Linked DNA regions of Diceros bicornis minor. The protein of the gene in region 1 interacts with the protein of each later gene in a biochemical or structural test. Links are inferred from orthologs where the notes say so. Each region holds a gene or a part of one and is shown on either strand. Other genes may lie near its edges.

Evidence for each region.
Region 2: the proteins of SIAH2 (region 1) and EGLN3 form a complex in vitro, tested with the Homo sapiens proteins (2 studies listed by BioGRID). The link is inferred for Diceros bicornis minor from reciprocal best matches to the Homo sapiens genes SIAH2 and EGLN3.

What each region holds. Positions count from the first base shown.
Region 1 is NC_080741.1:4,375,414-4,391,815, reverse strand, and holds the start of SIAH2 (E3 ubiquitin-protein ligase SIAH2), read right to left. Parts: upstream 6,820-16,402; 5' UTR 6,490-6,819; coding exon 6,073-6,489; intron 1-6,072. UniProt on the Homo sapiens protein: E3 ubiquitin-protein ligase that mediates ubiquitination and subsequent proteasomal degradation of target proteins.
Region 2 is NC_080744.1:15,198,519-15,214,814, forward strand, and holds the start of EGLN3 (prolyl hydroxylase EGLN3), read left to right. Parts: upstream 1-9,020; 5' UTR 9,021-9,337; coding exon 9,338-9,694; intron 9,695-16,296. UniProt on the Homo sapiens protein: Prolyl hydroxylase that mediates hydroxylation of proline residues in target proteins, such as PKM, TELO2, ATF4 and HIF1A. Target proteins are preferentially recognized via a LXXLAP motif.

The DNA.
Region 1 (16,402 bases):
GGTCACCAGCCAGTCCCAGTGGGGAAAGATGGGGACCTGGACCAGGAGGCTCGAGTAGGGCCTGCCCTCAACACAACCCGAGGAGGAGGTAACCTGGGGGAGGACTGACCCAAAGACACTACCTTTGTGGATTCAAAGTTGTGAGATTGGGCCCAGGCCCATGCATTTCACACAGGTACATCTTCCACCCACCTCCACAGTGTCTGTTGCTGAAAACCGGGAGGGGGTCACCTTTTATCTCACAGACACCGTATAGTCTAAAAATCATTACGTAAAATCTCTATCCAACTGGAAATGAGAATGACAATTTCCCAATTTTTAAGAAACAAATGGAGAAAGATGGGCATCTGGGGCAAAGTTGATGAAATTCTGCTAAAGAATTTTCAGTATCTCTCCTAAGCCTTAGAAAGTACATGCTAAGGTTTAATATAAAGATACATTTGATCAGGAAAATGTTTTGGCTTTCTTATTTTCCTTTTCAGGATGTCCAGAGCAGAATCACATTCGAATGCCCCATGTATGATCATGCTCTGCACGACTTACCAGCAATATACATGCCGGTATTCGCTTTAGCAAATGCATACCTACTATGTGCCCCTTTCAAAGAGTGGGGACCTGATGGGTTTGAATGAGAAATGCCATTGTTCACAAGTTTTGTCAGATGTGCAAGTCTGGCTCTTAGGACATTTCACATGAGGTCTCACCATAGTCCTATGTATATAGCACTTTATATGGGGCTTCAAGGGGCTTTAATGCAGAACGGGAGAATCTAACCAATCCAGACTGGGGACTTTATAGGCCAGACCTGCTGTACCTTTCGGTTTGCCTCCATTGGTTGTACTAAAGATCAACTTTAAGTAACAATGATTTACTCCAGTTCCAGGCCGTGGTAACCTGTGAAAAATCTTTGGCCAACTACGCGTAGAGTCAGCATTAAACTTTAGTCCCCCTCCCTGGCATTCCGGTGCTTCTGTTCTTAATTTTACACTCAAAAGCTGTATTGTCAGTTTCAGTCTTGACAATCTCAAGCCTCACCGTCCGTGTACATGGGCTCTGCCAGCACAGCTTTTATGAGACAACCTTCTCAACTTCAGCCAGGAGTGAAGACCACGGGGACAATTTCCAAAGTAAATGATTTGTGTCTTAGGAGGATTTTTGAGGTTAAGAAGAGATCTTTGAAATGGTTTTGGTAAATCAGCTCATCCCTTCAGACTTCTAGGTGATTGATCACCCATCACCTAGCAACCACCCTAATACCACCCACCTTCCATCTGATCTGGTGAAGCAAAAGCCCTCTGCAGCACTTCCACTCTGATCTCGGAGCGCCCACCAGCTGAGTGTTGTCTCCACTCTTTTTAACCGATGATCAGGCTCGGGGGGGACCCCGTTCTGTCTCCTGCCTTGTGCTCTTTCCCCTGGGACAGCTTTCTAGATTCTGCAATCTCAGAGCAAAAAGGATCCTTGGTATAATCACTTAATCACTGAGCCCAACTCTTTCTCTCTTTTTTTTTTAAAACTTTTTATTTATTTACTTTTTCCCCCAAAGCCCCAGTAGATAGTTGTATGTCATAGCTGCACATCCTTCTAGTTGCTGTATGTGGGACTCGGCCTCAGCATGGCCGGAGAAGTGGTACGTCGGTGCACACCCGGGATCCGAACCCGGGCCGCCAGCAGCGGAGCGCGTGCACTTAACCACTAAACCACGGGGCCGGCCCCCAACTCTTTCTCTTAAAGATAAAGACATTCAGATGCAAAGAAATAAACTGACGTGTACGAAGTCAAACATCTAGTCACAGGACAACAGTTCAGATCTCCCAATGGCCAGGAAGGAATATTCTGTCAGCAAAATAAAGATGAAAACAACATGAGCTCTGAAATCACCTACAGTTGTGACCTCTCAGAGTCCAGGGTTCATGTATGGTAAGAGTTAAATGAGAGCTTCCCCTCAGTAAATGCTCCCTACAGGAGAACCAGATCAGAGGCTGCACAGTGGCAGCTGGAATTTGGCCTGCAGACATGGTCGGTTTGGCCTGCAAGTGCTGGCTTTAAATCTGAATTTGGCCAATGTTAAAAAAAAAAGTAAGAAAAAATTGAGATATTTAACATTTTAAAAATCAAGATTTATGACTTTTCTTGAAAAAATCCAAAGGTCTGGCATGGCCACATCCACATTCCCTCCCGCCCCTGCCAGTCAGCCAGAGCTGAGCAGAAGCTGCCCTCTTGGAGGCAGCACGCAGTCTCTAGCTCCCAGCCGTCTCCACGGCTCCACGAGGGCTCCTGAAGCCCAAGGCCACGTGTCAGAGGCCTCGCTCCCTGCACACCTGGCCCCGCTGGTGTTCAGAGTCGTCTGCCCTGGACAAGATGAGTGCACACTGAGGAGCTTTTAACTTTCAACTGGGTTATCTGACTTGACTTTTTTTTATTAAGGAACAGAAACAGCTCTGTCACAATCCCACTGCGGGGAAGAGTTGTCTGACTGAGGCTTTCCAGTTCAGTAATTATTTGGAGATATGCTACTAGAAACTTGTAGAGAAGACAAAGAAAGAACGGAAAGAAAATGTATTGTAGTGTAAGTGGGCTGGAGTGGGTCAGCATTTCCCACCGTTGCGGAAAGAAGTACTTGGCAGATGTTAAAATACACTGGTTGGTGGGGCCACATGTGTCAACCTTCCCTTCTCCTCTACACCCATGCTCCACTGAGGTGGTGGGTTTGAGATATGGGGACAGGATGTCAAACTCCTCAGGCATGCAACAAGCTGCAAAATGGACTAAAAATACCACAAGTGGAAGACAGCCACGCTCTGATAGAGACCTTTTTTTTTTAAAAGGAGACCTAGGCTAATAGTGCATGCAGTGCCTTCTGTCAGAGGAGCTGGCAGCACTCTTGCCTTTAGTGAAGGGGCCCCACACCTGTGTAAGGAAGCTATTTGGCAACACGGCCACTTTGTGGCCAAGTGAATCATGAGCAGTTCAGAGCTGTGATGAAATCCTCCCAAATATTAGGTTTGTAGGCTATTTCCCCCCAATCTTCCCACTCCAAATGCCCTAAAAATTCCCACCAATGAACTTTATAGTGAACATATATGTTGTCTCATTGGGATTTTCCCATCAGAGGCCCATCTGGTGACTTCATCAGTCAGATGGTTCTGTCACTGGTGTCAACCTTCAGTTATGATTTGGAGCCTTGGAGTATGAGCTCAGACTCAAAATCCCCACATAGTAGTACAAAGGTGTGATGTGTACCTTTGGGGTGCAGGTCATGGACCGGCCATTGTGTGACCCTTACAAGTCACTCAACACTTAACCTCTCCACAGGCATTTGTTTCCTAACCTGCAAAGAAGAAAGGCAATCTAATAACAGATGACCCACACGAAGTGGCTGGCCCACAGAGAGCATCCCATAAGCATTCCACAGAGCTGCCCTACTTTTCATGGAATGCTAGAAGCTACAGGTTCTTGGAGGTCGAGCAGTCCGACTCCCTCATTTACAGATGAGGAAGTCCAGGCCCCCAGAGGTGGTCCCCCAGGCAAGCAATGGAGACCTGGGCACTGGTACTCTACCCAACACTGGTTTTCTCACGTAAGCCAGCCCATGAGACAGATCTGAGGGCAGGGAGGGGCAGTGACAGGGCAGTCCCTGTGATCTCCAGGAGCAAGTGCAGGCCAAAGGGCCAGCTACACAGACCTACTTTGTTGAAGCTGACATAGGCCTTAGTATGCTCTCATCCTCCCCAACTAACATACCTTGGTTGCTTGCTGGGCCTCTGAATACATCCAAGTTTGATTTATCCAAACTAATTGGCTGAGCTGCCCTCTCCACAGTTTGGATTACTGGCCAATCAAAGTCGGGACATGCATATTTCAGCTTTATAACTCGCACACACATGCATACACACAAAAGGACCCCACGATCACTTTCTTGGTTCCTGGTCTGCAGGGGAATGGTTGATCTGTTTAATTTCAGCTTGCAAAATGACAGCTTCGCCCAACTGCACCCTTACAGAATAGGGTCTTGGGCAATCACCGATATGTACAGAAACACTGGGTACCCCTGACTCCCAAGAGAACTATTCTTCAAGAGAGACGTCACTAGCATGTTACACGTTAGGAAAGAACATACGCTACAATAGGAACCAGAATCCAGATCCTGAAGGTGAAACTTCACACTGCACATAGCATATTATAACTGCTTCCTTCCCTCTCTCGGGAGCAACAGAATGCTCTTACGAGATGGCTTTTTAAAAATAAGTCATGGAATACTGACTGATATCGAATGCTCATTTGTGAACTGTAATTCATCTAAAGCCATTTCTTCTCTGGGCCACTGAAGGTTTGGGGGGAAGTGAAGGGCTGAGAAGATGGCTCCCCAGAAATCCTGTGGGGCATCTCCCCATCCCCCAACTCCCACAATATATCTCAAACACCAAATATCCACTCTTATGTCCACTATCACCAATCTTCTCTTGATCAACAGGCTGCCACCTTCTTCATGACCCTAAGAAAATTATGGAAATATTTGTCTAAATTTTACGAGAAACAACTCCTGGGCTGGGTGAATTAGTAAGCATTAGATGAGGACTGGTTGAAGGCAGAGTCATTGATTAAGGCTGACTGAAACCCAGAGCCCAAACACAGAGTCAAACCCTTATTTGAATATGCTATTTTAAAACTGATGGGTGGCAGGGCACAGACCAAATTAAATCACTCATTTTACTGACTTGAGTCCCCAGCTCAATTCTCTGGTGCATTATTTTTAATTTAAAAATAAGCTCTTGCCCTATAAAAATTAGCAGCACCAAGGAGAAATGCAGGACAGCCTAAACGGCCCAAGAGGCATAGCAGCTCCTTCTACAACAAAACTCTGAAGTATTAATGACATTATTCCCATTTCTAAGTTTAGAAAACAAACTTCATGGTATAACCCTAGGTTATAAGAGGTAATCTAGACAGGTATGTCTCTGAAACTGCTCCTGAAGTTAAGTGATAGATAGAGGGAAACGATGTTATAATATGACCACACGATGCAATACTCTGCAGCCATTTAAGATACAATGAAGTAGAGCTAGGTTTCAGACATAGAAAAATAGGTGTGATAATATGAATCTAAAACAGTAAGCTGCAGAAGCCATTTTTGGAGGAGAAACTTACATCTATGCCTGTGTATATATAAACCTTCCAGACACACACTGACATCTACGATTCTATACTCAGCTGTGAGAGTATATTTACACATAGCTAGAAAAAGTCTATGAAGATACACACTAAACCTAACAATGGTAGGAAAGGAGGCAAGAGGTCTTGGTCTTTCACTTCACTTTTCTTGTCTTAGTAGTTTGCATTTTTTGCAAGAGCATCAAGAACTTTTTAAACTAAATAAAAAATAAAGTGATGGGCTTCAAGGAACTGTACAACAGCTCCTGTGTGCCCTTCCTGTTAAATTCCTGATCAACTCTTGTTTTCACCCCACTTAGTAAGAAAACACAACTCCTCAGTCCTTGGAAAGCTAGGAGAAGGAAAGGCGTGGCTTGCAGGGTTTTCTTGTTGCTGGAGAAAAACAGGCTGTAGGGCGCCCTTTTTTTAGCTACACTCCCGAGGGCCCCCACGTGTCAGGGGCGCGCAGACGGCAGGCGCGGGGGGCAGGAGGAATCCACTACCAATCCTTCCAAGCCCAGTGCTGGTAAAGGGCGCGTTTACTTGCCCATTTCCTCTTTCCTCAATACCCTGTAGAGAGTCAGCTTCCCGGTCCAAGTTGTACTTGTGCGGCCAGCCCCACCGAGCACACCCGAGTACACGTCTGCAGACGACGCGGGCACCGCGCGGGAGAGCCGCGATGTGCCCTAACCACGAGCGCGTGCCAACTAGTCTGGGGTCAGCGCCCGGGCAACTGTCAGTCCAGGGCCACTCCCAAAGTGCACAGGTGGGCATGGGGGAGGGTAGACAAAGTGTACGCATTTTTTTTTTTTTTTAACAAGAGAGATGCCACCTGCCTCTCCGCGCCCGCGAGTGGGCTGGAAGACACGGGAGTTCCGGGAGGTGACCGGGCGGAGGTGCGCCGAGGGCATCTGGCCTTACCTTGCAGGGGAACAGGACCGCCGAGGCCACCTTCTCCATAGCCAGGTTCCTGATGCTGGGCGTCAGGGCGCCCCTGCACGTCGGGCAGCAGCTCAACTTCTGGCGGCATTGGTTACACACCAGGTGCCCGGCCTGGCACTGCAGGATGGGGGGCAGGACATAGTCAAAGCAGACCGGGCACTCGAAGAGCGAGGTCAGCTCGTGGTGCTGCGGGGACACCGGGCCAGCGCCGCCGCCGCCGCCGGGGCCCGAGATCACCGCCGCCGCGGCGGGCACCGCGGACGAGCCGGGGCCCGCAGCCGAGATGGTGGCGGCGGCCGGGGGCGCAGCCGGGGACGGGGCGTGCTGGGGCTGCGGCGGCGGCGGCTTGCTGCAGGGTTTGTTAGCGCTGGGGCCGGTGGAGGACGGGCGGCTCATCGCGCTCCGAACCCACCATGGAACTGCGGGCGCCTGCCTGCCGCGGGGCCGCCGGGGTCAGGGCTGCGCGCGCCCCGCGGGCGCCGGGCTCCGGGGCCACGCCACCGCGCCCAGCCCGGGACGGCGGCCGGGACGGCGCGCAGGGCGGGGGGGCTGGCCGCGCCGCCGCTCTCGGGCCCCCGCGTGCCCGCGCCCCTCCGCGCCCGACCCCGAGCGCAGCGCAGAGCCCCGGCCCAGCCGCTTCTGGAGCGGCCGCTGACGCAAGCCCCGGGGGCGCGCGCGGACGTGACGCGGGGACACGTGTGCGGCCGCCGGGCGCGGGCACCGGCAGAGCCGCCCTGCGCTGGGCGCGGCTCCGGCGGGGGACGCGGGGACCGCCTCGCGCCGGCGCTGCCTCGGGCCCGGCCGGCCGCGCCAGTGAGCATGCCCGGTGGGCGCGGGCGCGCGGGCGGCTTTTCCGGGGCGGGGCGGGGCCGCCCCTCGCGGAGGCGTCGCCCGAGTCCCCGGCCACACCCCAGGAGCCACGCCGACGCGGCCCCGGGCGCCAACCACAAGGGCGACTTCGGGCGGGGCGGGGACTGGCACGGGGGCGGGGCGGGACGCGGGCGCCCCGACGGGTCGGAAAGAGCCCGAGGTCTCCGCCTGGGGTGAGTCACCGGCCAGCGGCTCGTGGTCTGGGACGCGGCGTCAGGACGCGGGGCTGTGGGCGGAGCGGGCACGGGACCGTGTGTCGCGCTGTTCAGGGTGGGTTCAGGCCACCCCTTGGTCCTGCTCCCCAGGGCGGGAGGGGGCAAACGCTTGATTCCTTTTTCAGCGGACCTGCCGAAGGCTTCGTTGAGTTGAGCGCCTCTGACTTGCAGAGCAGGCCCGGGAGGGAGTTCACGGACAGCGTCTGCCAAAAGGAGCGTGCGAGATCACCTAGGAATGCCAGAAACGTGGGCTGGGTCGTGAGGCCCGGGAAGACAGTGGATGACTCTCCAGCACAACGGGCTGCGTCCTCGCCTTTGAGATACCGCCGAAGTCCGAGGCTTTGATGCGAGGTGTCGGCGCTCGCCCTGCACCCTAGCGGACGCCCGAGGGGGGTGACAGCCCAGAGCGAACCACATGTTTATTTAATGTGTACTGTGTGCTGCCAGTTAAATTGCTTTTCTACATACTTTGAGCCACTGACACTGGAATTGGGGAAGGGGGTACCTAGAGGGAATCGGATGATACTTTGTAGGAGAGACGGTGGAAGGGAACAGTCGGGACTGGGTGAAGAACGGTGCCCTCCGCTTACCATCTCTGTGACTTTGGGCAACTTCGTTAATTTCTCTGCGCCTCAGTTTGCGCATCTGTAAGGGTGGGATAAAAACTACCTATTTTTATAGGTGGGTAGTGAGCATTAAATGGGTTTGATAAATGCCGAGAACCTGGCTCATCATAAGCACTGCTTAAACGTTAGCTGTTATTTTTAAGAAATATTATTAGTGAATGTTTAATATTAATGAGTATTAGTGAATAAAATCTGTCCAAGAAATATGCTCTTAGAGCCCAGAAGAAATCAAGTTTAATCTTATAAATGTTATCTGGAAAGACTACATGCATGGAATTGGTGGAATTTGATCTAAATCTTGAAAATAATTAATAGAGGTGACGTCATTCCATCAATCGGGACATGTTTCCCCAGCATTTGTTCTGCACCAGCCGCTGTTTGGGTCTGAGAATGGTTCTGCTGCAGTTTCCGTTCTCGTAAGGGAGCAGCGTCATGTCCAGACACTCACGGGAGAGGATTTCAGATGCATGGGGGGGGGGGGGGGAGGTGACGTTGTAGCAGGAGAGAAAGCACGGTGAGAGAAGGCATCCGGGTGCGCTGGGACTTGGGGGGTGGGGGGCACATGGGAGCCTCAATTGGACTGATAAGATTGTTACCTCAATGACAAGGGTTCCCCACTGTAGGTTTTTGAAAAGCGCTGTGGCATGGCTGAATCTGAGTTTTTAGAAGGGTGCTCTGGAGGAATACAAAATGCTAACTAATATTTATTGAGTGTTCACTCTGTGCCGGGTGTGGGTGGTTCTAAGCACTTTGCAACAAGCTTACAGGATGGATATTATTGTTATCATCTCCATATTGTAGTTGAGGAAACTAAGACACAGGGAGATTAATTTGCTCAAGATTACACAGCTGATAATGTTGGAAAATGCTCCGCACCCTCCTTCAACTCCTAGTCTCTATCCCTTTCAGTCAGGCCTGACCGCACCTTACAGGCTGGTTAAGGCTTCAAGATTAGTGCCCTCCACAGTCAGAACACAGTTGCACAGCCTGTAAGCAAGCACTGAATTTTGTGGACAACTTCACGTTAATTCTTTCCTTAGCTGGTCTGGAGAGGAAAATAATTAAGTCATATTCTATTTATTCCATTTTTACCTTTTTCTAGCTTTAAGAACATGATAGTGACAACAGAAAAAAATCACCCACAGTTTCACTTTTATTGGAGATAACATTTTCCACTTTTAATTTAAAACCCAAGCAAGTGGAATTAATTACCAGAATTGATTTTCTTTCCCTCCACCTCTGGCCTCTCAGTGCAGGTGCCCCTCGTGTTCCCAGGGCTTACTAGCTCTCACTGGAGAAGCCGGCCCCCACCCTTGCCCTGTTGACATGAGCGTTCAGTGTTCCCCACCAGCTGGGCCTTGGTTGTTCAAAGAGCAATTTGGTTTCAGATGTGTTGAAACAAAGACCAGGAAAAGCAATCCTCTGTGGAGAGAATTTGTTTTTTTCTAAAAATACAACTAAGCCATCCACTCTTACCTTGGCAAATGCCCCCCGTGGTGTGGAGAAATTTCTCCTGGCTTCCTCCTCCACATCATTGCACTCCTGATTAAGTCGACCGGGATAATTTAAAAAACCAACACTCCTCTGGGCAGCTGCTGAAGGTAGGTGGACAGACCTGCTGGTGACCTCTCCAGGCTGCCGGGCTGGCCTTTCCAGTCCTTCCTCCTCCCTGGGGCTTTTGCATCAGAGAAAGGCGGCTGTTTGCACCTTGGGCACGTCAGCCGGAGCATCTCTGTCAGGGGCATGGGTGCAGAGTTGTGCGAGGTTTATTTGCCCTTGGGAGTGGCTGCTGTGGCTGGGCTTGTGTTTAATGGGTGACTTTGTTGCCTGGGGAGGGGGGCGGGGTCCAGCCTGTGTTTCTCCTGATTCGTGACTCATTTACCGCATCTGCTGCATGACAGGTGGGCCTCCTCCCCCCACCCACAGATGGCACAAGAAGGACACGTGCAAAGCAGGACTCCTCTCCTTAACCCATCTCCCCCTCTGTACTACCCTTTGAAGACTTAGTGGGGTGGATTGAGTAACCTTTCTTTCCTTAAAATGTCAGGGTGAGTCTTGTCACACAGCCCACAGGTGAGCCCCTCCTCTCACCTGAACTGCTGAGCATGATGCAGAACGTCCCAGCCAGGCAGACACGCTCTCGCCCTTTCTGTAACTTGCAGATTGTGTGGTTTTGCACGTTGGGCAACTTCTGCAATCAGGCGAGTGGTGTGCATTTTCAGAGCAGAGTGTGGTCAGCTTTTTCTCTTTAGATTTGGACATGACTCAGGAGCGCACTGAAGCTTGCTGCGTGGAAATTCTGATATGGGGAAAGCTTGTGGGAAATTTAGAAGCGACTGTGGGGGCCCCTGGTAATTATGGTAGGAACTTTTACCTTTACCACGTACTTTCGTTTCAGGGGTGATTTCCACATGCTCAAACTTCCTTTGAATAACTATGGGTCATGTAAGCAAGTGTTTCTTGAATAATCACCATGGAGATAGGACTGTATCGCACGGAATAGGTATATACATTTGTGTTATTTTTGTATCTGCACTTAGCGACTATTTCTCTAGTGCTCCCTCTGTGCCAGGTACTCTTCTAAGCACTTTACATATTTTAATTCTTTTAGTCCTCACAATGTCTCTTATAAGGTAAATCTTTACAGATGACAAAACTGAGGGACAGGCCAAGTTAGCTGTAGTAAGTAGCCTCTAAGATGGCTGCGAGGATCCCTGCCCCCAGTCTCTGCTCCCTGTGTGACAGCTGGACTGACTCCCTTAAATGAACTGAATACAGCCACAGAGATAGAATGTCACTTTCCAGATCAGGTTACAATAAGACTAAGACTAGCTCTCTCTCTGCCTGTCCCTCTCTCAGCCCTCAGAGGGTGAAGCTGGCTGCCTCACTGTGAGCAGCCCTGTGAAAAGGCCCACATGGCAGGGAACTGATGTCTCTGGCCAACATCCAGCCAAGACCCCAGGCCTGGCTGACAGTTTGATTGCCCTTGTGAGACCCTGAGCCAGAGGACCCAGCTGTGGTGACACACAGAAACTGTGAGATAATACATGTTTGCTGTTTTAAGCCCCTAAGTTTGGGGGTAATTTGTTACACAGCAATATTTAACTAATACACTTGTCCAAGATCAAAAGCTTGTATGTAAAAAGAAATGCAAAGTATAGACCCTCTACTTTTTCTCTTAAATTATTTTTATTATAATGCTACTTTATAGAAACAATCTAGGAAAAAAATTTTATGATTATTGTATGTAGCTATAAAAACAAAAGAAATTGGAATACCAAAAAATCCAGAATTCATGTTTTTATTTCTTATTTTGATACTAATTCATAATTTTAAAATGATAATTTCATGTGATGGAAGATGTGCTAAAATGAAACCATCATTTATTTTGGAAACAACCTCAATGTCTATCAACAGGAAAATGAAGTATGTAAAGGCCTCCTACAAAATACTCTGCAACTTGGAAAAGGTCTCGAAGACAAACTGCTATATGGAAAAAGCAAGATGCAATGCAGAAACCCCCAAACAATCCCATTTTTGTAAAAAGAACCACGCAAAACAAAACTCCTATTTCTTTACGTGCTAAAGAGGGCATAGAAAGGTCTGGAAGGAGACAGTGAACTGATGACAGTGCTGGTTTCCGGGGGGAGTATGACTGGATGTGGGGAGCTTTTGCTTTGTATTTTCTATATTTCTATAGTTCGTTTTCCCTTTTGTCTTCTTTTTCTTTTTCTGCAATGAGAATTTATTCATGTGTTTCTGTGTAAATTAAAAAAAAAAAGTGTTGTCCTTGGCTTTCTGGGGTTATTTTAGTGTGGGATTTATTTAGCTGTAGGGTTGGTGCCAAATGAATGACACATGGAGGATCAGCCAGCCAGCCAGCAGAGGTGGTCCTGGCACTACCATGAAGAGACCAAGAGCTTCTGTCAGGTCTTTGGGCCTGGGAGGTGACTTACTGAAATCGGTATTTTAATAAGAGGAACTCAAAGGCGGTGTGTAGGTAGAGCCTGGAGAGAAGGAAAGAGACAGGCCGGGGTGGGGGGTGCCTGGCGCAGCAGGAGGGCTTCCTGGGAGGAGTGGAAATTCAGTCCTGGGGCAGAAGTGAGTGGGCTGTGAGCCCGGCAGTTGTGGCCATTGGTCACTGACCAAGTACAAAGATTTATGCGGTCAGTACGTCACGTCTGGAGGTCACGGGTCAAATCAAACCCAGGCTTGACTTGTTGGGGAGTTAGTAGCCCAGAGGGGGAATAATGTTAACGAGAGCTCGCTCTTACACAGTGCTTACTACCTGTCAGACACCCTTTTAAGCACATCTAATCCTTACAAGAGGCATGTACTATTGTCCGATTTTATAGGTGAAGAAAGGAAGAATCTTGGAGGTTTAATCCCTTGTCCCAGGTCACAGATGATACTGGCAGAACCCGGATTTGGATCCAGGCAGTTTTAGCTCTGGTGTCTGTGCTCTTAACCACTCGGCTGTCCTGCCAGAAATCCTTTTGAAAATCTAATACCGTGTGATAAATGCCATAATAGAGTTGGGAAGAGAGTGCTTCCTGGACAAGTAAGAGGAAGATGTTAAGAAAACGAGACATTCTTTGAGTTGGGTCTTGAAGCAAGAGTAGGAGTGTGCCAAGCAAAGCGGGGTAAGGAATGCACTGGGGGGGAGGGGCAGGGGCAGTACACAGGAAGTGGGGGCAGTGCACACAGGGGAGGGGTAGTGCACACGAGGGGGAGGGGCAGTGTACACGATGGGGGAGGGGCAGTACACAGGAAGGCACGGGGCTCTTACAGCTGTTATCTACCCAGGAGTCCTGTCTTCTTGACCTTGTGCACTCCCAAATCAGACCCCTGCTCTCCTCCCTCTGAACTAGCTGCTGAGGTAGAGCTGCCTGCCAGGCCTCTCTCCCAGGACTGTTTATTCTTAGATCTCTCCCTGAGCGGGACAAACAACCTTTAGTCCTCAGCGCAAAGTGAGGAAAGGCAGAAGGGGGGTCCTGAGTACTCTCCTCATTGCCCTCTCCCCGCCCCGAGTCCCTAGGCCTCATCTAGGATCCCCCAGATCTTCATCTATGTAGGGCCCAACACAGAATGTGGATCACTGAGAACCAGCAAAGTTGATGTCACCTGAGGCCTCAAATAATACATTCCTCCTCTTCAACATCAATTTTGTCAGGTTAAAAATCCAATAACAGGCTGTCATTGAATCTGAGAAGAGAGATGATAATAAAAAGGAGACTCTGACTCCATAATGGAAAGCAGGTGATCTTTAAAATTGGCTTCTCCAGCTGTCTGTGCTACAGAAATTCAGAACAGGTGGAAAAGCCTGTGCTTGTACCTTTCTCCCCAGTTCCCGCCACTTCCCCGCAGACCTGCTCCTCCCCTTCCGCTTCCTTGGACTTGGTGAGTGGTCCTATTATGCGCCTGTTTGCCTGGCTGGGAATCAGGAAGCCATCCTCCCTTCTCCCTCCCACTGGCTTGACCTAGTTCTGTCCCTGCAGTGTCTCACACCCTGCCCCTCCATGCCATCCCTGCTGCCCTGCCTCAGTCACCTGGGGACTCTGCCACCCTGTCCCCAGCCTCCCTCCTCCAGCACCTCTTCTGCCACCTCTAAAGTACAAAATAAGTAACTCTGGCAAGCGAACTGCTGGATACGGTATAATGAGTACATGTAAACCGTTTACCTTATTGTTGCATTTACCAAGTGTAAAAGTAAGCGCTTCCTCTGTGCCCTGCTGTTTGGCCACAAGCCCAGCTGGGCAAGCAGTATGGGATAGGCTGCAGAGAGACCGAAGAAAAGACCTGGAGAGGGTGAATGAGACGTGTAGGTTTATTGGGAGTTACTTACAGGGAGGGCAGTGGTGGCTGGCTGGACAGAAGTGTGCACCTGACCCCGCCCCCTGAGAGAAGCTTGCTTAAGTAGGCAGAGGAACAAAGACTGTGTGCTTGCCAAGGGGGATGGTCCCTGTATGACCTGCATTCCAAGGACCAGAGCCCCCCCAGAGGACCTCTGTGTTCCCTCAGACCCTGTAGGTCTTTGTGCTAGGTATCCCAGAGAAGGAGCTGGGTTGGCCGAGGCCAGGACAGTTATCATCATGAGGGCTGGTGTGTAGCCCAGACAAAGGGCTTCCAGGACACATGGCTGCCGTTAAAGGGCCCCTATACCTGCCTTGGGTTAGGTCTCTCTAGGCCCTTTTGCTTGCGGAAGATGGAACTTATTTCAGACTAATCCAGGGGGCCTCACGTGGAGAACAGGGGGCAGCAGTGCTAACAGACCTTGACATTGGAATCAGGAACCAGAAAGCCTCCAGGAAGAGGCGACTTGTGCTCTCCAATTCTTCCTCATAGTCTATTTTCCTTCCTCTCTCTGCAAACTGGCTCTCACTGCATCCCAGAGCCCAGGATCAAATGTAGTCAGCCACACATCTCAAGTTTATGGTCCTCTCTATTCCAGCTCCCTCCCTGAGGGATGGGGCTCTGCCAGATCTCAGCTTCAAGCCCAGGTCTCAGGAGAGAGAATCTGATTGGCCCAGCTTAGGTCAGCTGATCGTTCTCAGTCTAATCAGCTAAAGCCAAGCCAGCTGGCTCCCTCAGTGCAAACATGGCTGCTGGTTGCCCACCGTTGTTGGACGTGGAAAGGATTCTGAGAAGGGGAGTTTGGGGCTGCCCTGATGCTCCAAAACTTGTCTATTATGTGTTGTAAGGAAAGACATGACCTCTGGCTTCTCAGCTCTTAAGCCCCATTGGGAAAATTGAGTGGTGAGTTGAGGTTACTTCAAACAAAAGTGAAATCTTTGATTTTACAGAAAAAACTTGGAATTTACGATGGAAGTGTTGATCTTGTCTTTAAGGAAGGGTAAGGCTTTGAGTTTTGGAGAGAATGGTTACTTCAAATAAGGATAGAAGGATCATCAGTTCCCAGCAGGAATGAGTGAGGGCAGTAAAGACTGTCATTCTCAGGGTAGGTTCAATTTTGAGTGATGGGAGTTGAGATTAGGTGGGTAGAGTGGGAACATTCATCGGAGGGATTTAAACACCAAATGAGCTTAGCTTTGCCTCATTAAGGACAAGGAGTTGGGATGGTTAAATGGAAACTGAGTGTGTTCTGGAATCAGACACACCTGGATCTGAGTCTGCCTCTCTGTGTAATTTATGTGACTTGGGTAGGCTTCCTAAGTGCAGAATCTCAATATCCTCATCTAGAAAATAGGAATGCTCGTACTGGCCTGTAGTGGGCATCTGTTGTTGCATCTGCCCAGCATCCGTCCCCACTCCTGATAAATGCTCCTTGGTGTCACTGTGAGGGACCACTCTGTGTGGTTTGGATAGGATTGGTCCCACCTGCCAGCTGGGGGATGGACACATGGCCCTGGCCAGGGCTACCCATACAGCACCTTCCTCGGACACTTTACTTCCATCTGCTGGAAATTGTTGTAATTCGTATACAGAGCTATGATATCTGGTATGAGTGGTGCCTCCTTACATGTGGTGCTTTGTGTACTGCATAACCTGCCCAACTGTAGAAAGCTGCTCTGACCTTGGCCAACTAAATGCAGTCTACCCCCTGGTGACAGATCAGGAAAGGGAAGTGACCCAAGCCAGGCCAATGGGAGATGTTGTACCACATAAAAGAGTCTGTCTCAAAGTAATGCCAACACAGCAGAGAAAAGAACTGGGAAATAGAGAGAGGCGTAAATGCATTATGTGAGCTACTTGATGCAGCTGTGCCTGAAGCTATAGAGTTATCTCTGGAATTTGTCAGTTACATCATTGAATAATTGTTAAGAGAGACAGTCCTCCATGGGTCCCTCTCACTCCTGTACATCTTGCTGGGTATGCTAAGAACCGACCTGACCACTTTTGACTGGGCCATTTCTCATAGTTGTTTGCAGCAAACACTCTTGAAAGGTGAGGTGAGGTCTGCCGCCAGGACAGAGAGCAGGCTTCCTTATTGCTTGCTGGAAAAGTGATGGATTTCCCAAGCTCAGTGTTCCTCAGCTGTGATGCAAACCCACTGTGTGCAGAGCATCCATCTGAGCCATGTTGTGTCTGCTGAAGGGCTCAATCAGGGACCAAGGAAACGTGCTGACGCACGTGCTGATCGTTGTGCCCTGAGTAGTCAAGTTCTTTGTCTCTGGTCCAGGAGTCTTGTGTCTTCTGCCAGCATCCATGAAATAGTGACAGGTTAACTTATTAGCTTGTAAGTAGAGTAAAATTACTACCAGACCTGACAATAATCCTCTCTACATTTTTGTTTCTTAAACCAGAATTGAGATTCTGTCACTTGCAACAAAAAACTTCTAACAAATTGTTTTCCTTATCAATTGAGATAATGTATGTGAAAACTTCTAATCTGTATGGGGGTCCCAAGTAAGTGTGGCCCTATAATAGACTGTTTTATTAAACAACTTTATTGAGGTTTAATTGGCATAGAATAAACCACACATATTTAAAGTGTACAATTTGATAAGTTTTGACCTATGTATGTACCAGTGAAACTTTACCACAACTAAGATAATAAACCTAAAGATAGATTATTTTTCCTTTTATTACACTTATTTTTAACATTTTATTTTGTAAATATTAAACCATACACAATAA
Region 2 (16,296 bases), on another chromosome or scaffold:
TATGACATACAACTATCTACTGGGGCTTTGGGGAGAAAAGGGGAAAAAGAAAAAAAGGAGGAGGATTGGCAATGGACTTAATTCAATTTAGGTAAAATCAAATTTGTCAACCGAAGACTTGGGACCAAATCAAATTTGGTAGAACATTTTGCTACTACCTCATGGGAAGATTTTTCAGCTCTTTGTCTTTTATCAATTTGGTCTGTTTTTCCAAAATGTTTACTTTTTTCTTTCTACTTTTTAGATTTTAATTAACTTTTGGCTTATTCTCTAGGGAAACATAAACATCCAACAATAAAAAATTTATCAAAAACATCAGATTTCCTTGAGTTCTGTGCACGAATACAGAAACAGTGAAATATGCAGTGCATTCATTCAGTGTATAGTGAACATCTGATTTATGTCAGGCACTGTTCTGGGCACAGGAAATACACATGAACATGTCCCTGCCCTCAGACTTCTGGGAGAGATAGGTGTAGAGCAGATTCAAACAAAAAAAAGAGTCAAGTTTTGATAGGCACCATGAAGGAAATAAACAAGGAGCTGAGATAGCCAACGTCCACTTTTGCTAGGGGGATAAGAGAGGCCTTTTGAAGAAATAACATGTAGGAAATGATGAGAAGAAGCTACCTTTATGAAGCATGGGGAAAGTGTATTCGAAGGTGAAGAGACTACACATGCAATGTCACGTAGGTAGGAGACAGCAAGGTTTGTTTCAAAAACTGAAAGAAAAATGGTGTGACCGGATCACAGCGAGTGAAGAAGACAAGACACAATGATGAGTTTCGTAGGCCACGTTAATGAGTATGGATTTTATTTTAAGTGCAGAGGTTTCACAAAGAAGAGTGATGCCATCTTATTTACGTCTAAGGATGACTGCTCTGGCTTCTGTGTAGAGAATGGATTGATGTGGGGCAAGTGTAAAAGCAGGGAGACCTGAGAGAAGGCTGCTGCAGTAATCCACATGGGAAATGAGGGCGGTCTGGCCTGGTGGTGGCGGTGGAGACAGGGAGAAGAATCGAGAGGAGTTGCTGGGAAATTCGATGTAAGAACTGAGACTATGTAGGTGTATAGATCAGTGCCCAGCTGGGAAAATAGAAATCATTCTGGGTATTCAAACAGAGAGAATTTAATCTAAGGAATCAGTTACAAAAGTGTTGGAAAGATTGGAGGAACAGAAAGGGGAAGGTGTGGTAACCTAGAGATAAGCATCTGCAGGAAGTCAGGACCACTCCTAAGGCTGGAGAAAGAAAAGGGAGGTGGTGATATTATCAGGGCCCAGGAGTGTCTGGCATCTGACACTGTGGGAAGCTGCTGATGCTGTTGGAACTGGCCACTGCCCCAACCATTCGTGCTGTTGCTAGAACTGCTTCAGGTTACTGGAGCCCACAGATGCTGGTCGCTGCCACTGCCAGAAGCTTAAAAAAAAAAAGGGGGTCTCTCCCTCATTTCATCCCGTTTCCCACCAGTGCTTCCCACTGGCAGCATCTAACTGGGCCAGCTGGCAATGAAGTCTGGGAAATGCAATTCAGAGGATTCCAGCCACCTCCAACAGAGCAGTGCACTTAATGGCTGGAATGGTACTTAGCGCCAACAAGCCAATAACCAGCACATGGAAGAATTAAAGATTTGTTTTAAGTAGGAAAAACAATCCCATATCCTTTGAAATATATATTTTTTCTTTCTTTTTGCAAAAGCAATATGTTCCCATTGGGGAAAAATTAGAAAATACAAACAATAGAACATAAAAAACTTCCATATTCCCAGTTACCCAGAAACAATCATTACTAACATCTTGGTCTCTGTCTCTTTCTCTCTCAAAACAAGACTCTTACTCTACATTTGGTCCTATAGCCCACTGTACTAAATTTACGCAATAAACATTTGCTGGACATTTACTTGGTTACAATTAGCTCCCAGTGTGGAATATTTATGTTCTACCAACATTTTCCTACTATAAATATAAAAAAGGAATTGTCGCCTGAAAACGAATTTGCAATTTAAGAAAACAGTTATGAAGAATACAATTGTAACCTCCAATTTGACTATTATAAGATTATTTGCTTAGGTAGAAAGAGAAAACTAATTATTTTACACATAAGGTAAAATGCCAGGTCTTTTCTTTATCTTTCCTTATCGTTCATTTCCTTTGTTGGGGAGAAGAACGCTCTCAGCAATTTCAGAGCTGGAAATGTGCAGACTGGACCTGGGGAGGGGCTTTAGCCACAGACTGAGCTAGAACTGTCCCGCTGCCCCGTCTGTCTGGTCTCCGTGGAGTCAGACTTCTGAGGAGGAAGCTGGTCCCCTGGAGTGTGCAGAAGAGGTGACCCTGAGACAAGGCTCTTTAAGGGTAGACGCTATTTCTTATGGCTACAGGGCGGCCGTTTCTCTGCTGTTACGTTAGAACGCTTTGGACTACTAGTAGCTGAAAACCGTAACTTAAACTGGCTTTAAAAATTAGGAAATTTATTTTCTCACATAACTGGAAGTCCAGAGGCAGGACAGGCTCCTGGAAGAGTAAGATAAGCTGCTCAATGATGTCACCAAGGTCCCAAGTCCTTTCAACACTGTTCCGCCTTCCTCAGGGTTGGCTTCATTCTGAGACTGGCTCCCTTCGTGGTGACTAGATGGCCGCCAGAGGCCACAGAGCTGCCTGTTTCCTTTCTCCACGTCCAGCAGGAAAGAAAAATAGAGAGATCTCTCCCTTCAATATAAATTCTTCTTTATAGTTCGAGCAGACCAGTGGTTTTCAATACTGCTACACATTAAAATCACCAAGAGCACTTTATTAATTATTTATTTTATGGCTATTATTTCATTCTCATTTTATTAATTTATTATTTCTTGATGATGATGGTGTATTATTTATTATTTGCTGTTTTATTTTTTAAACTGCTGATACCTAGGCCTTATCGCTAGAAATGTTAATCTGTTAGTCTAGGGTGGGGCCCAGCTGGAGACAGTTTTTAGAAGCTCCCAAGTGATTCTAATGTACAGCCAGGGTGAATTAGGCTGGTTTAGGTCACCCGCCTATCCCTAGACTCATCGGCACCAGGGTAACACCATGAACTGATTGGCTTAGAAAAGCAGATCTCAAAATGTGACCCTTAACCAGCAGAAGCAGCTCCTGGGAACCACTGAGTTGGAAACTCTGGGGGTGGGGCCCAGCAAGTTGTGTTTTACCAAGCTTGCCAGGAGGTTCTGATGGATGCTAACGTTTGAGACCCACTGACTTAGACCAATCAGGCTCCTCTCTGGAGCTAGGGAGGAGGTAAATATGTGAACAGGAGCGAGGCCTGTTAGTACAGTGAAGCCCAGGGCACTGGAGCCATTAGCACCCCCACCCTCGCAGCGGCGGGCTGGAAGGGGAGAGGTCTGCGACCTGAACCCCAGAGACCCCAGGCTGTACAGAGAGAGCCTCCCAATGGTGCCACCAAGCCTCAGCCACCTCAATGGGCCGTTAGGATGGGAAGAAGGTGTCCACTCCTTCCTACCCTGGGAAATCTCTGGAAGTTTCTGTAGGAGCTAAAGGACTGAAAAGATTGATTTGGTATACACTTTCCTGAAAACATTGTGAAGTAATTTCAACCACTGTACAGTTTCAACAGGATCTTGGAAAAGAAAAAGGACATTAGGTAAAAACAAAGGAAATCTGAACACAGTAAGGACTTTAGTTAATGATAAAACATATCAATATTAGTTCATAAATCGTGACAAATGTACCATACTAATATCAGATGCCAACAGGGGACATTGAGTGTGGGGCATACGGGAACTCTGTATAAATCTTCACAACTTTCTTGTAACTCTAAAACTGTTCCAAAATAAAACGGTTATTTTTAATACGTTAAGATGTGAAATTCTAATGAATGGAAACACCTTTGGAAACAGCTTTATAAAATTAAGCATAAAAGATTCTTTAAAATACTCTATATTAGTAATCCCACCAATTGTTTTAGGAAATCCTCCAGGTAAATTTATTAAAGATAAGAGTTCATTCACCTGAGCAAATAGCCCATTTACCAAACAAGTTTGCTTATCAAGACTTTCCCAGAAGATTCTGTGCAGTCCCGATTAGCTCCCATCTTGAGGGACCAGATTTAAATTGAAAAAAAAAAAAAAAACCCAAAACCCTCCATATTAACATAAATTTGACACTGCTATATTTTTATGCTCGATGTCATGTTTTTAGCCAGAGAAAATACTTTTTAGACATTTTCAGCTTTAACAAGAGTTGAATTGGAAAATATTAATGAAGATCCCTGATATGTCACACTCCCTAGAATCTGTACACGGCCAGAATTATCAAAGAGCACATGAGAGAGGCTTAAACTTGCGCATATGCTTAGAAATAATTAAGAACTGATATAAAATGTCGCTTTCTCTTCATCCCCTTATCCCTGGAAAGGAGTAGGAATGCTGGACTCCGCAGGGAATGGGACATAATCAGATGCATCTTTCTCTAAACCCAATTCATAGCCGTGAGCTCAGGCATGAATTCCCTTCAGTATTCTCCTGTTTCACCAGCTCTATTTAAATTAAATGCACTTCCTTTGTCTTGAGGGGTGAGCCACAAAACCCAGTGGACTGAGGTGTGGCTTGTTACCAACAACTACTCTCAACAGGCTGTCCTTCACTGGATTTATGTGGGATTCCTGGGAACACTGGGCCATAATTGGAATGGAGCAAGGAGCAAATTCTAATTTGTAGTTTGGAAGATTACTCTTAATATAGTCAACTAAATAATTGATGCTAAGTTTGCTCATCTCCCTCTTGCACCAAGTATCAGTAAGGAAACCAATAATTAAAATTGTCATTGCAGGTGAGAGTGTTGTAATTAAAACTTATAACAAAAAAAGAGTACTTAAGGGCAAAAACATTGCCATGCCAAGCAAGTGGCTCAAAATGACTTTTTTCCCCTGATCTTACTACACTGGAATCTCTCAGATTTTGTCCAGCATTGTTGTACTCTCTAACTGTGTGACCTTGGATGAGTTCCGCAGCCTCTCCGTACCTCATTTTTGTCATCTTCACAATGGGGAATAATAATAGTGCCTATTTCTTAGCAGTGTTATAAGAATTGATAGAAGTAAGGTTTGTAACACTTTTAGCACAATGCCTGGAATATGGTGTTACAAAAGTGTTTGATAAATCAATAGATAAGATAGCCCTTGCCCATATTAAAGTCATTCAATGTAATGATAAACCTCTTGATGATATAGCATGGCAAAAACACAAAAAAGAATATTCAGGTGCCAGCTAGCAGGGAGGGAACCTTGGGCATGGCGGGATGTTGAAGAATCAGAAGAAATGTAGACAGTTTTCATCAGAAATAAAACAAGGATGTGATGGGACCCTCCCATATTATTGGTGGGAATGTAAAACGGTGCAGCTGTTGTGGAAAACAGTTTGGCGGCTCCTCAAAAAGTTAAACATAGAGTTACCATACAACCCAGCAATTCTACTCCTAGGTATACACCCAAAATAATTGAAAGCAGGTACTCAACTACTTACACGCACCTGCTCAGAACAGCACTATTCACAATAACCTAAATGTGGAAACAACCCAAATGTCCATCAGCTTATGAATGGATAAATGTAGTACATCCCTACAACGGAATATTATTCAGCCATACAAAAGAACAAAGTACTGATACATGGTACAACATAGATGAACCTGGAAACGTTATACTAAGTGAAAAGCTCACATAGCCTATGATTCCACTTATAGGGAATATCCAGAATAGGTAAATCCACAGAGACTGAAAGCAGATTGGTGGTTAAGGGGGCTGGGGAATTGGGGAGTAACTGCTTAATGGGCGCAGGGTTTTCTTTTGGAGTGGCAAAAACGTTTTGAGACTAGAGAGTGGCCGTGGTCGCACAACATTGTGAATGTACTAAATGCCACTGAATTGTTCACTTTAAAAGGGTTCGTTTTATGTTTTGTGCATTTTACCTCATTAAAAAAATGCATACACGAATAGGACTTTGTTCTAGTTGAGAAGACAAGCATTCCAGGCTGCCTCTTCCACTCATCAGAGACTCCTTACTTAGGAAAGCTACCTAATGTCCAGCCCCTCTGGGCCCCGGTTTCCTCATCTGTAGAAAAATGACGTTGGACTAGGTGACCACTAGGATCCCTTTCAGTTCAAATTCCAAGGCAAAGAAATTCAGCACCCTTCTTTCTCCCTGTCTCGTCACAAGCTTGAAAGTGACCGCATCTGTACTGCAGATATACGCTGGGAGACAATGTTGCTGTAATTCAATTACAGGGAAATTAATTTGTTTTAGTTATTAATATGAAAAGTATTTTAATATTCCTTATTATAATGACACAAATTACTGGACAAATAACTAAAACAAATGCACTTTAACAATTAGCTTGGGGGTTTTGCCACTCTGATGCTGAGACTCAGAGCCCCTGCACGGCTCCAGCTAGTCTGTGCCCCTCCGTGTCATCACATGCTGTGCTTTTGCCAGTCACCGTATCTCAGGCTCCTCTGCCAACGGCGGTGCTGGCAGCCCCAAGTTGACTTGGAGGCCCTTGATTGATGAATAGGTGCTCTTGCCAAGCAGGGATGGCAGCAAGGGACTGAATACCCTTCTAAACTACCCACACTTTGCAACCAAAGTAATCTAGAACAGCTTAAGCTATCAGTCACTAGAACCTGCTTATAGACCATTGTTTTAGTTCTAGTTCTAGACTAGTTAGAACTTTAAAATCACTGAAATATTATTTGAATAGTAAGCCAAGTTTACTCAGCCCTGGATTTAAAAGTCCTGGGTCAACACATTCATTCCGGGAGGTGAGGATGTCATTTTCTGCATTTTACTCACCGCCACCTCACCTGCTACTGTAGATTTCTGGTCCTCTGTAAATTCCCTCCTAATTTTTCCTAGGAGTGTCAGGTGTATCTACAAAGAAGCTTCAGCTAGAAACATTTCAGCCAGCTACCCAGGTTTATCTGTTATTTCCCTCCTTCCCCCCTAATTCCGGCCCTCTTCAGGGATGTCTCCTTCTGAGGTCTACAACAGTCCCCAAAGCCGCGAAAACCAAGCCACTGCCTACCCGGGCCCACTTTCAGGCTGCCTCAGACCACGCTTCTCCTGGTCAGGCCGTTATCTAAAGCGGCCAAAGTGGTTCCCGGCTATGAGGGGTTCAAGCAGAAGTTCAACCCCAAAAGGAGCTCCTCCTTTTTGGTATCACATCTCCATTTCACTCCTTGCTGCAAATGAAGAGTCCAGCAGCTTTCACCTCCTGCTCCTAGCACTCAGCATCCACCACGGCTGGATCCGAGACAAAGCCAAGAGACAAATACCCTGCAGGGCACCTAGCTGCCCCCTTCACTGGCCTTTGACGTTTTGTCCCGGGCCAGGCTAATCTGCCAGACACCCTCTTCTCAGTGAATTCTCTCTGGGGCGTTTCCCCCAGCCCTTCATGCAAATCGACTCTTCCTATGGACGAGCCCAGACATGCCTGGGTCACATGTGGAGGTTGCTGGGGCTCAGGGTCAGACACCAGGTTCCCAGCAACTATTTATTAAGACCTAGTAGGTGCTGGGCGCTGGGGGTCCAAGGATGATGGGCTCCAGTCATCATGGGACAGGAGCTGTGGGAATTGAGACGACGGTTCATTGAGGTTAGCCAAGTCCCTAGTTGGTGCACCTCCTGCAGAGAGGTCATACCAATGGTGCCAACTAATCACCATCTTGGCAGAGAACATCCTCTCACTATAACTAGAAGTTGCACCAAAGTTTCTTACTGACCCCTCTTCCTGAACATTCCTCAGGTTCCTATGCAACCGCGGGCCTCTGTCTGCTTCTTTCTATCATGCGGCAGCAGAGTCCTCTCCTATCCCACTCTTTGCCCTTGGTCAGGTCTTCCCCCCATCTCTCCTTTCCTATTTCTTCCCTCAGATGCAGAGAGGAGAGGGCGGTGTGAAAGAGAATAAAAGTGCAAGAGCTGTCGGGGTTTGTGTCCAAAATAAACAATACCTGTAAAACCTGTCCGTTCTTTTGTTCAACTTAAATGAAGAAGCTGAGTGCAAACTAATGTAAAATTAAACATATATAAATGGCTTTGCATGCAATTTGTGAATCTCTTTTTCCTGATTCTGATCTCAGGTGTTCCATAGGAAAGGGAATAAAAAAATCATAAAGCAGTCAGCTTATCTTTGGATAACTAAAAAGTCTCCTAGGTGGTATCCATCCCTCCCAGGTAAGTGCAGCTTCTTGTGGGAAAAGGGAGATGAGAGACCTAAAATAGAGTCTACCTTTTGGGGGACACACCTATACTGGCTGTTACAGGAGCATGGGATTAATTTTGAAGGCACACTTTTAGAACATCGTATTTTAGTAAGAAACTCGAAAGATAAGCGGATGAAAACGTCCTGGAAAGCAAAACACAGTGTTTTCAGGGTTCCATCAGGTAAAATACCCAGCCTTTCTTCATTGTGCACATTACCCCCCCCACCCCCGCCCCCCGCGGAGGACATGGGGCCTTGCACTCCACGTAGTGGGGCTTAGAGAATGTTTGTTAATTTTGGTTAAAAGTGGGTTCCTCTCAATCTCTCAGTGGCTTGAACCTCCTGACCTGGGTCAAACAGCAGAGGAAAGGGAGTAAGGAAAGGCACCCGATAAAGCTAGGAGATCTCTGTTTAATATATATGTTTGTTCCCGGGTTTATTATTTTGTGACCAGCCCAGAATGTGGCAGTAAACTATGCTGTTAATTCTATTTACATTTTTAGAGTTGGGATCCAGGTTTTCAAGTTTGTTAAGGGATTTTATGCAAAACATATGCAAATCGATAGCATTCTAAAAATTCCGTCTGTTCTCCAGCCCCTCCCCTCGTCACAAACAGGCGAGGCAGGCGCCGGCCTCGCGGGGCTCCGCGCGGAGCGCTAGACCCGGCGGGGCTGACGGGCCGGGGGCAGGGCTGTCCCTGGGGCGGGCCCGGGGCGGAGCCTGGGCGGGGCCGGTGACGCGCCCAGTCGGCCGGCTCCGGGGCTGGACCTCAGCCTCTCCCCGACTCGGGCCGCCGCCGCGCTAGTGGTGGCTCCGCATCTCCAAAAGGGGCCCTCCGACTCCTCGCTGGGCCATTCCGGCGCCGGGTCGTGGAGCCCCGCGCAACTCCTCTGGTCCCTGAACGGGATCCCTCCTCCCCAGAGTTGCGAGCAACTTTCCTCTCTCCCTGTCGCTGCGGTGGCTCGGGGACCGTAGCCGCCGCAGGTAGCTGAACCCGGGCCACGGTCCCCGCGCCTCGGCTGCGCGCGCGCGTAGGTCGCTCTTTCTCTGGGTGCACGCTGGGGGACTGGCGCGCTCGGCTCTGCGGGCGAGATGCCCCTGGGACACATCATGAGGCTGGATCTGGAGAAAATCGCCCTGGAGTACATCGTGCCCTGTCTGCACGAGGTCGGCTTCTGCTACCTGGACAACTTCCTGGGCGAGGTGGTGGGCGACTGCGTCCTGGAGCGCGTCAAGCAGCTGCACTGCAGCGGGGCCCTGAGGGACGGCCAGCTGGCCGGGCCGCGCGCCGGCGTCTCCAAGCGGCACCTGCGGGGCGACCAGATCACGTGGATCGGGGGCAACGAGGAGGGCTGCGAGGCCATCAGCTTCCTCCTGTCCCTCATCGACAGGCTGGTCCTGTACTGCGGGAGCCGGCTGGGCAAATACTACGTCAAGGAAAGGTCCAAGGTAAGACGCGCACGGGCGCCCCGCTGCTGCTGCAGCCCGCGGGGACCAGGGACATTCGGTGTCGGTGGTCTGTCGCCTTCGCAGGGCTGAAAGCGAACTGTAGTTTTTAACCAAGAAGCAAGAAGTCAGTCTGATTCTCCCCTTTCCCATTCTCCTCTGAGCGAAAATCCATGCTAAGGGTCTCAGGTGTATAATTATAATGACCTTTTCTGTTAACTTTGAAATAATGGCTCTGGTGGGTGGTACAAGCCGGACAAGCGGCGACTTTTTGATCTGATTCTAAGACATGGAGGTTCTCAAAGGTCCAAACGACAAACAGGGTATTAGAAACACTGTGTATAATCTGAGACACACGTGCACTCATGATCTTAAATGTCTACTTAAGTCACCTAATATTGCCCTTTCATTGTGTTCAGAGCAGATGCCCACAAAAGCACTCTTAAAGAATTCTGGAGACAGTGTGATTTTGCAAAGTGGCATTTGGTTTGTGAAGTTTGGCAGGTGCAGAGGAGTTTGACCTGTGAAAGAGTCAAGCTCCTCTTCACTTTTGAGAGCTGCCCTTGGCTTGTTGCACCCGGGACACTATTAGATCATTTACTTGACTGTGAAAATTCTCTGCTGGTACTGAGCCCTACACCACCAACTTCGCTTTCCTAACTATCCGTTGATGGGAAAATCCACTCAAAACAGCCAGGTGAGTGATCAGGAGAGGGTGGTCAAGCACCTCGGGAAAGAAACTGTGTTTTTGTTCTCATCGCCAGAAGTGACTCCCTGGGTGGTAATTTATCTTGGAAACGTTTCCAGGTAGATTGGCAGAAATATGGGAACACGTAGTACCGTGATGTTGGTGCGTGTACATTACTTTGGCATAGTCGAGCTAATCGGTGTCTTTCTACAAATGATAATCCAGCCAGTTTTCCAGCGGCAATTCTGAGTGATTTGCGGACTGGTCACGGGGGCACTCAGAACTGTAGAAACTTTCACTTTAACACAGTGAGGCAAAACATACTAGCATGAGAAGGAAAGTGAGCAGTCACCTATGTACCCTTCTTTAACAATATTTGTGGTATTTCTCAATTTAAGATTGATCCTGGGATAAAACATACCATTGTTGTCTCATAAGCTGAGAGGAACGCTCTTTATTAAGTGCAATTGGTGAAGACTGGAAATGTGTAGAGATGAAGGGAGTGGGTGAGTGGAGTAGGGGAGAAATAGATTGCTGCACACCTTTCAAGCCAGGAGGACATGAATAGAATATCTGAAAGCATCGCTATTAATCAGACGCAAAGCAAGCAAATGTGAAAAGAAAATGCTGCTTTCTAAATTTTACTTTGATTTGGGGAAAATTCAGAGTTAGCTGGACTCTGTAAAAGATTGACGTTAAAGTGTTTCTTTACTCTTCTTCCATCATTTTGGTGGTGGATAAGAAAGCCTTTTGTCTCAATTAGTTTTATTTTGCATTAAATGACCTTGCCTGTCTTGAGGCGGGGCGGGGGAGGGGAATGACTAGCCTCAGTGTTGCAGAGGTGCTCAGAGCTTCCAACCCGGAAGAGCAGATGGCTTCTTATCAGTTTTTTAAAGTTTCTTTTAAACAAGTGGTAGGAATTCCACATCCCCCCCACCCCCCGCCAGCATTCTAGGAACAGAATTTGCTCTGAGGGAAGTCAGAGTGAATTGGTAGAAAGAGGTCACTAGTATTTGAAAGTTAAGTATTTTTATTGAGCTTTGACTTAATAGACAGTGGTAGGGTTTTGGGCTAGAGTTTAACTCCACAAATTGAATGAAAAGCACTGTGTACGTCTGGGAGGGAAGAAAAATGATCTGTAGATACGATTCTTCAATTATGGATTATCTTCCGGGTCAAACAAGTAACTTTTCAGTTAACCCTTTCAGAAGGTGACTGTAAATCGAAAAGAGAAAATTCATCTTTTGTCCACTGAAGAGACATCTGCCTATACCGAGATTTCCAGCTTTCCTTTGGTAGTTTTGGCACAGAGCTCTTCATTCCTGCCCTTTAGAAAGATCACCTCTAGATTGGGATATTCCCTGGCCAGCTAGAACCAAATGCAAACCAGGCTTGAGCAAACAATTATTGTAGTGAAAAATAAAAAGAGTTTGATTTGTTTGTATAGAGAAGTCTCCTTAATAATGTTTTGTGGCCTTAGGTCTCTTGTATGAAGTTTATTACTAAAGCATTGTAGAAACGCTTTCCAGATTTATATTAGTTTCACCCTAATTTAACCTTCTTATTTATTTCTCTTCCCTCAACTGAGTGCCTTGCTCTGTGCTGCTTGCCAGAGTAGTGATATAGACCTGGTTTTCTGCTGCATCCTTCAAGCAGGTTTTCAGTAAAAACTAATTTTAAAAGGCAGAATTTGTACGTTTATTTAAAAAATTTATTTGTAACTTCTTATTATGGAAACTTTCGAACATATGTAAATGTAGAGGGGCTGGTATAATGAACTTCCATCACCCATTTTCATGCACATTTATTTTAGACCAGTTGTTTTAAGGTACTTTAAATTTCTCGGGGTTATGCTTATTAATGTATTGATCCTAATTGAATATTTTTTTTCCTAGACTTTTAAATGTCATTGAATAATGTAATCATGCACTTTATCTCAAAGAAGCAAAGGCATTGGGAATAAAATAGGAATACACACTAGATCTAAAATTGAAATTGTGGAAGCTTATGGAAAGCAATATTAAAGTGTTCCCCCTTGCTGCCAAAAAAGTTGTTACTGGTCAGAGTTTATCTACCTCCACTTTGTTGGAGAAAAGTCCGAGGGTGCGGAAGCCCCTCTGGGGAAGTAGTTTCCTATAATGTACAGCAGTATGGCGCCCCCTAACTGCAAGCATGATCACTGCTTTCAGACTATTAAAAGATTTCTTATCTGTTAACTCCCTTTTGGAGAATTTAGACCGTATCCAAGATAAATATTGGTTATAATTTGCTCCTTTTGCTGTGGCTGCCTAGATCGGGAAAATGGCTGTTTTCCAGAGAACGTGTAATTTACAGAACCAAAAGTCCTTCTGCTTGAAGCATAGCACTGTAGACTAGCCAGTATTGTAACTCCAATAATACTAGCTACCTTTTCATAAGCGGTTTGCTCTGTCTGGAACTGTGCTAAGCACTTTGCAAACACTGTCTGTCTGACTTAGTCTTCAGAACCACAATCTTCAGCAAACTGAGTGATGAAATCATTTGCCCAAGGTCACAAAGTGGGTGTAAGAGGCAGTTTATAGGGGTTTAGGGGTTTGGGGTTACCAACCTTCTGGCCTTAGGTCAGTTGCTCAGTTTCACCAAGTGTAAAATGAGGGATAATAATACCTTCAAGCTTTTTAGGTGAAGGAGCATTAAATAAGATGATGTACACAAAATTCTTAGCAGAATTCTGAGCCTTCGTAAATGTTATGAGGCTGTAAGTGGGTGATTTGGGATGGAACCGAGTTCTGCCCGACTCCAGAGTTTGTGTTCTTGACTGTTATGCTCCTGCTTCTCATCCGTGCATGTATTCAGCAAGTGTTCACTCAGTGCAGGGCGCTGTGCAGGGGCTGGGGACACAAAGGTGAGCAGGCATGACCCCTGCCTCACGGAGCTCGCATACACACGTACTTTTGAATTGTAAGATCCTCTAGTTCACACTCGATTAATTCCGAGGCTTAACAAAGAAAAGGACAAAACCCAAACATTGAAGCGGGTCAGATAAGTACATTTGAGGAAGAAAACGGAGTGCTGTGCTAATGTTTTGCTACTGTTATTTGCAGGAAAAGTATTTGTTAACAAGGTTGGTTGTTAGGATCCCTGACTGGAGTGGTTCTGGACAATGGGGTGGTAGGGGCTGTATTGTGAACAGACAGGTGAGTCCTCCCCTGGAAACAATACAGAGACATGATGAAACAGCGGTAAGTTATGAAGAAAAGAAAATGTGTTGCGAAGCGGAGAGTTTGTTCCTTTGCCGTTTAGCAATAACAGGTTCAGCCCACCCTGGTCATGTGATGTCGGGAATATCCATTACTCAGTGGACCTTATCGTGGTTGCAAACTACTTCAAGCAAAAGTGGAATAATGTATTTGGAAGATCAGGATCTCCCTCAGACCCACGTGCAGGATATGCAATCTGGGTTCGCAGAAGGCTGGAGCAATGAACTGGGAACCAGAAAGTCCTTCCCATCCAGGACCCCTGGCGTGTTAGTTCTGCCTCTGGCCCCTTCTGGCCTCCCTCTGCTTCTTTGCCTGTGCTTCTCTGCTTTCCCTCCAGCTTTTGCTGTTTTCCATGCACGTGGCTCAAGGTGGCTGCCCCCACAGTGGCTGCTTCAGCCTCAGTTTGAGATTCACAGAGTCTTGATTAACATTCTAGAATCCCTGTTTTCACTCCCGGGGAGAAAGTATGATGGTCTCACCTTGGCTCAGGGGATCGATCAGTCTTGGTTGAGAGTGGGAGTGGGGCATGTAGAATCATGTCACAAATGTCGTTGCCGGGGCCTGTGAGAGGTGCAGTTCTAGAGCCCGGGGTTCTAAGAGTTTGAGGACTAGACACCATAAACGGTGTCTCCGCAATTCAAATCTTCAAAATCTGTCTGTGAATGAGGTATTTTAGGGGGAGGTGGCACTGAGTTTGAAGCACTGGAACATCTTTCTGTACGGATGTGAGGTTTATTCCTATAAAAGGTTTTGTATTTAAAAATAACTTAGCTCTTGGAGGAAGGAAATTAATCCAAGGAAATAATTTACAGAATGCAGCCTCGGTGACAGTGAAGCAAGTTTCTCCATTCGGTAACTTTTCACAGTGTTCTTTGTCTATTTTGTTGAATGATGCTTGGGAACAAAGAAAAGAAGGTGGGGGGTGTGTGTGTGTGTGTGTGTTTATAATTTCTTTTGTTCAATTTTGGGCCATTGGCCACTATAGGACAACCTTATCTCCTTGCAGTGAAGTGGGAAATCAGGAAATATCAATTTAATTTATTCATTCACAAGTCATTAAATGTCTTCCACCTCGCTGACCTGTACGTGAATGGGGGAAAGGAGATGGAATGTGATGATAAAACCATCTAAAGAATAAAGGGATTAAGAGGTACAAACTTCCAGTTATAAAATAAATAAGTCATGGGGATGTAATGTAGAGCATAGGGAATATAGTCAATAACACTGTCATAACTTTGTATGGCAACAGATGGTAACTAGTCTTAGCGTGGTGATCATTTTGTAATGTATATAAATATCGAATCAGTATGATGTGCACCTGAAACTAACATAGTATTGTATATTAGTTATACTTCACTTTAAAAAGAAAGCAAGCTGAAAGTTGAGTGGTATGAAACAGTTGTCACCGACATTGCTTTCTCTTTTTCTGGTTAAACAGTCTGATTTTACACTGATCAGTCATTTTTGTTTCTCTTCTTCTTTGGATTTTCTCCAGTTTCTCTATTTACTTAAAAATGAAGTTACCCAAATTATACAGGACTTTAATAATACAGGTTTTTAGAGCTGGAGAGGTATCAGAAATCACGTCTATCAGTCCCTCAATCATTCAGCAATGAAGTCATTTTTATGTTTGGAGAGACGAAGTCTCAAGAAGGGACAGGAGTGGGTCTTGGGCCTGAGCAAAGGTGCTTTAAAGAGAGGGGCTTCCCTGGCTGGGGTTGCTCTGTAAGTCAGGTAGACTGGGAGATGGGGGTGGTAGGTTAATTCAGCTGCATCAGCATTTTATTTGGGAATTTTAAATATAATTCTGACTTGAAATTGATAAACACCCTTAGGTGGAGTTATGTCACCTATCTGTGCATTCGACTTTTGGGGTGTTATGAATTATTTCCCTTTCTGACCTTACTCAGCTCAAGCAGAATTTGTATATTCTTCCCTGATTCCTGACTCTGGCTAGAAGAATTTCAAATTTTGTAAATAACAAGCAGCCTCACATGTTACAACTCCATTCTGAAAACGCACTGTGTATGGAAGACTTCTCCGATGAGCTTCAAGTTGGGGGTGGAGTTTAACCCATAATGAGCAGAGCACATCTGAGAAGCATCTCCGAGCACCCCAGCACCCTGCGTGTCAGGGTGAAGCTCAGGGCCCCTCGCCTGTGGGCCGTGTTTGCTGCTTTGGCAAGACCTCTGCTTTTGACTCATGTTTGCGGCCTCCAGTAAATTATGTGGCACTTTGACCACCAAGGAGCAGCTTGCAGGTCAGCACTATGGAGAAGGTTATTAATACTTTGTTAATTATGACAGCAACAGACTTGATGATTCCTTTGTAGCTGTTAACTAATATCGCTCTAAGAAATGGGTGTCATTTTTCTCTAGTGTTTGTCAAAGGTGCATGTTCTGACAGTAATGATAGTTCAGATGTATTCTGCTGGGCAGTTGCCAGGGGTGCCCCGAGGGTGGCCGAATCCAGAGGCACTGGAATTGTAAATGCGACAGACAAGTCATTTTATGATGCCAGATTAAGGAATTCGGCTTTGGCAGATGGCCAGGAGCCGTTGATTTGGCTCCGATTCAGAGCTATGTGTCTGTTTGCCAAGCAAGATTAGTTAGCCTGCTTCATTATACGTAGAATGGTACCCCGTTTCCTTCGATTATTTCCATCTTAAACCAGTATCG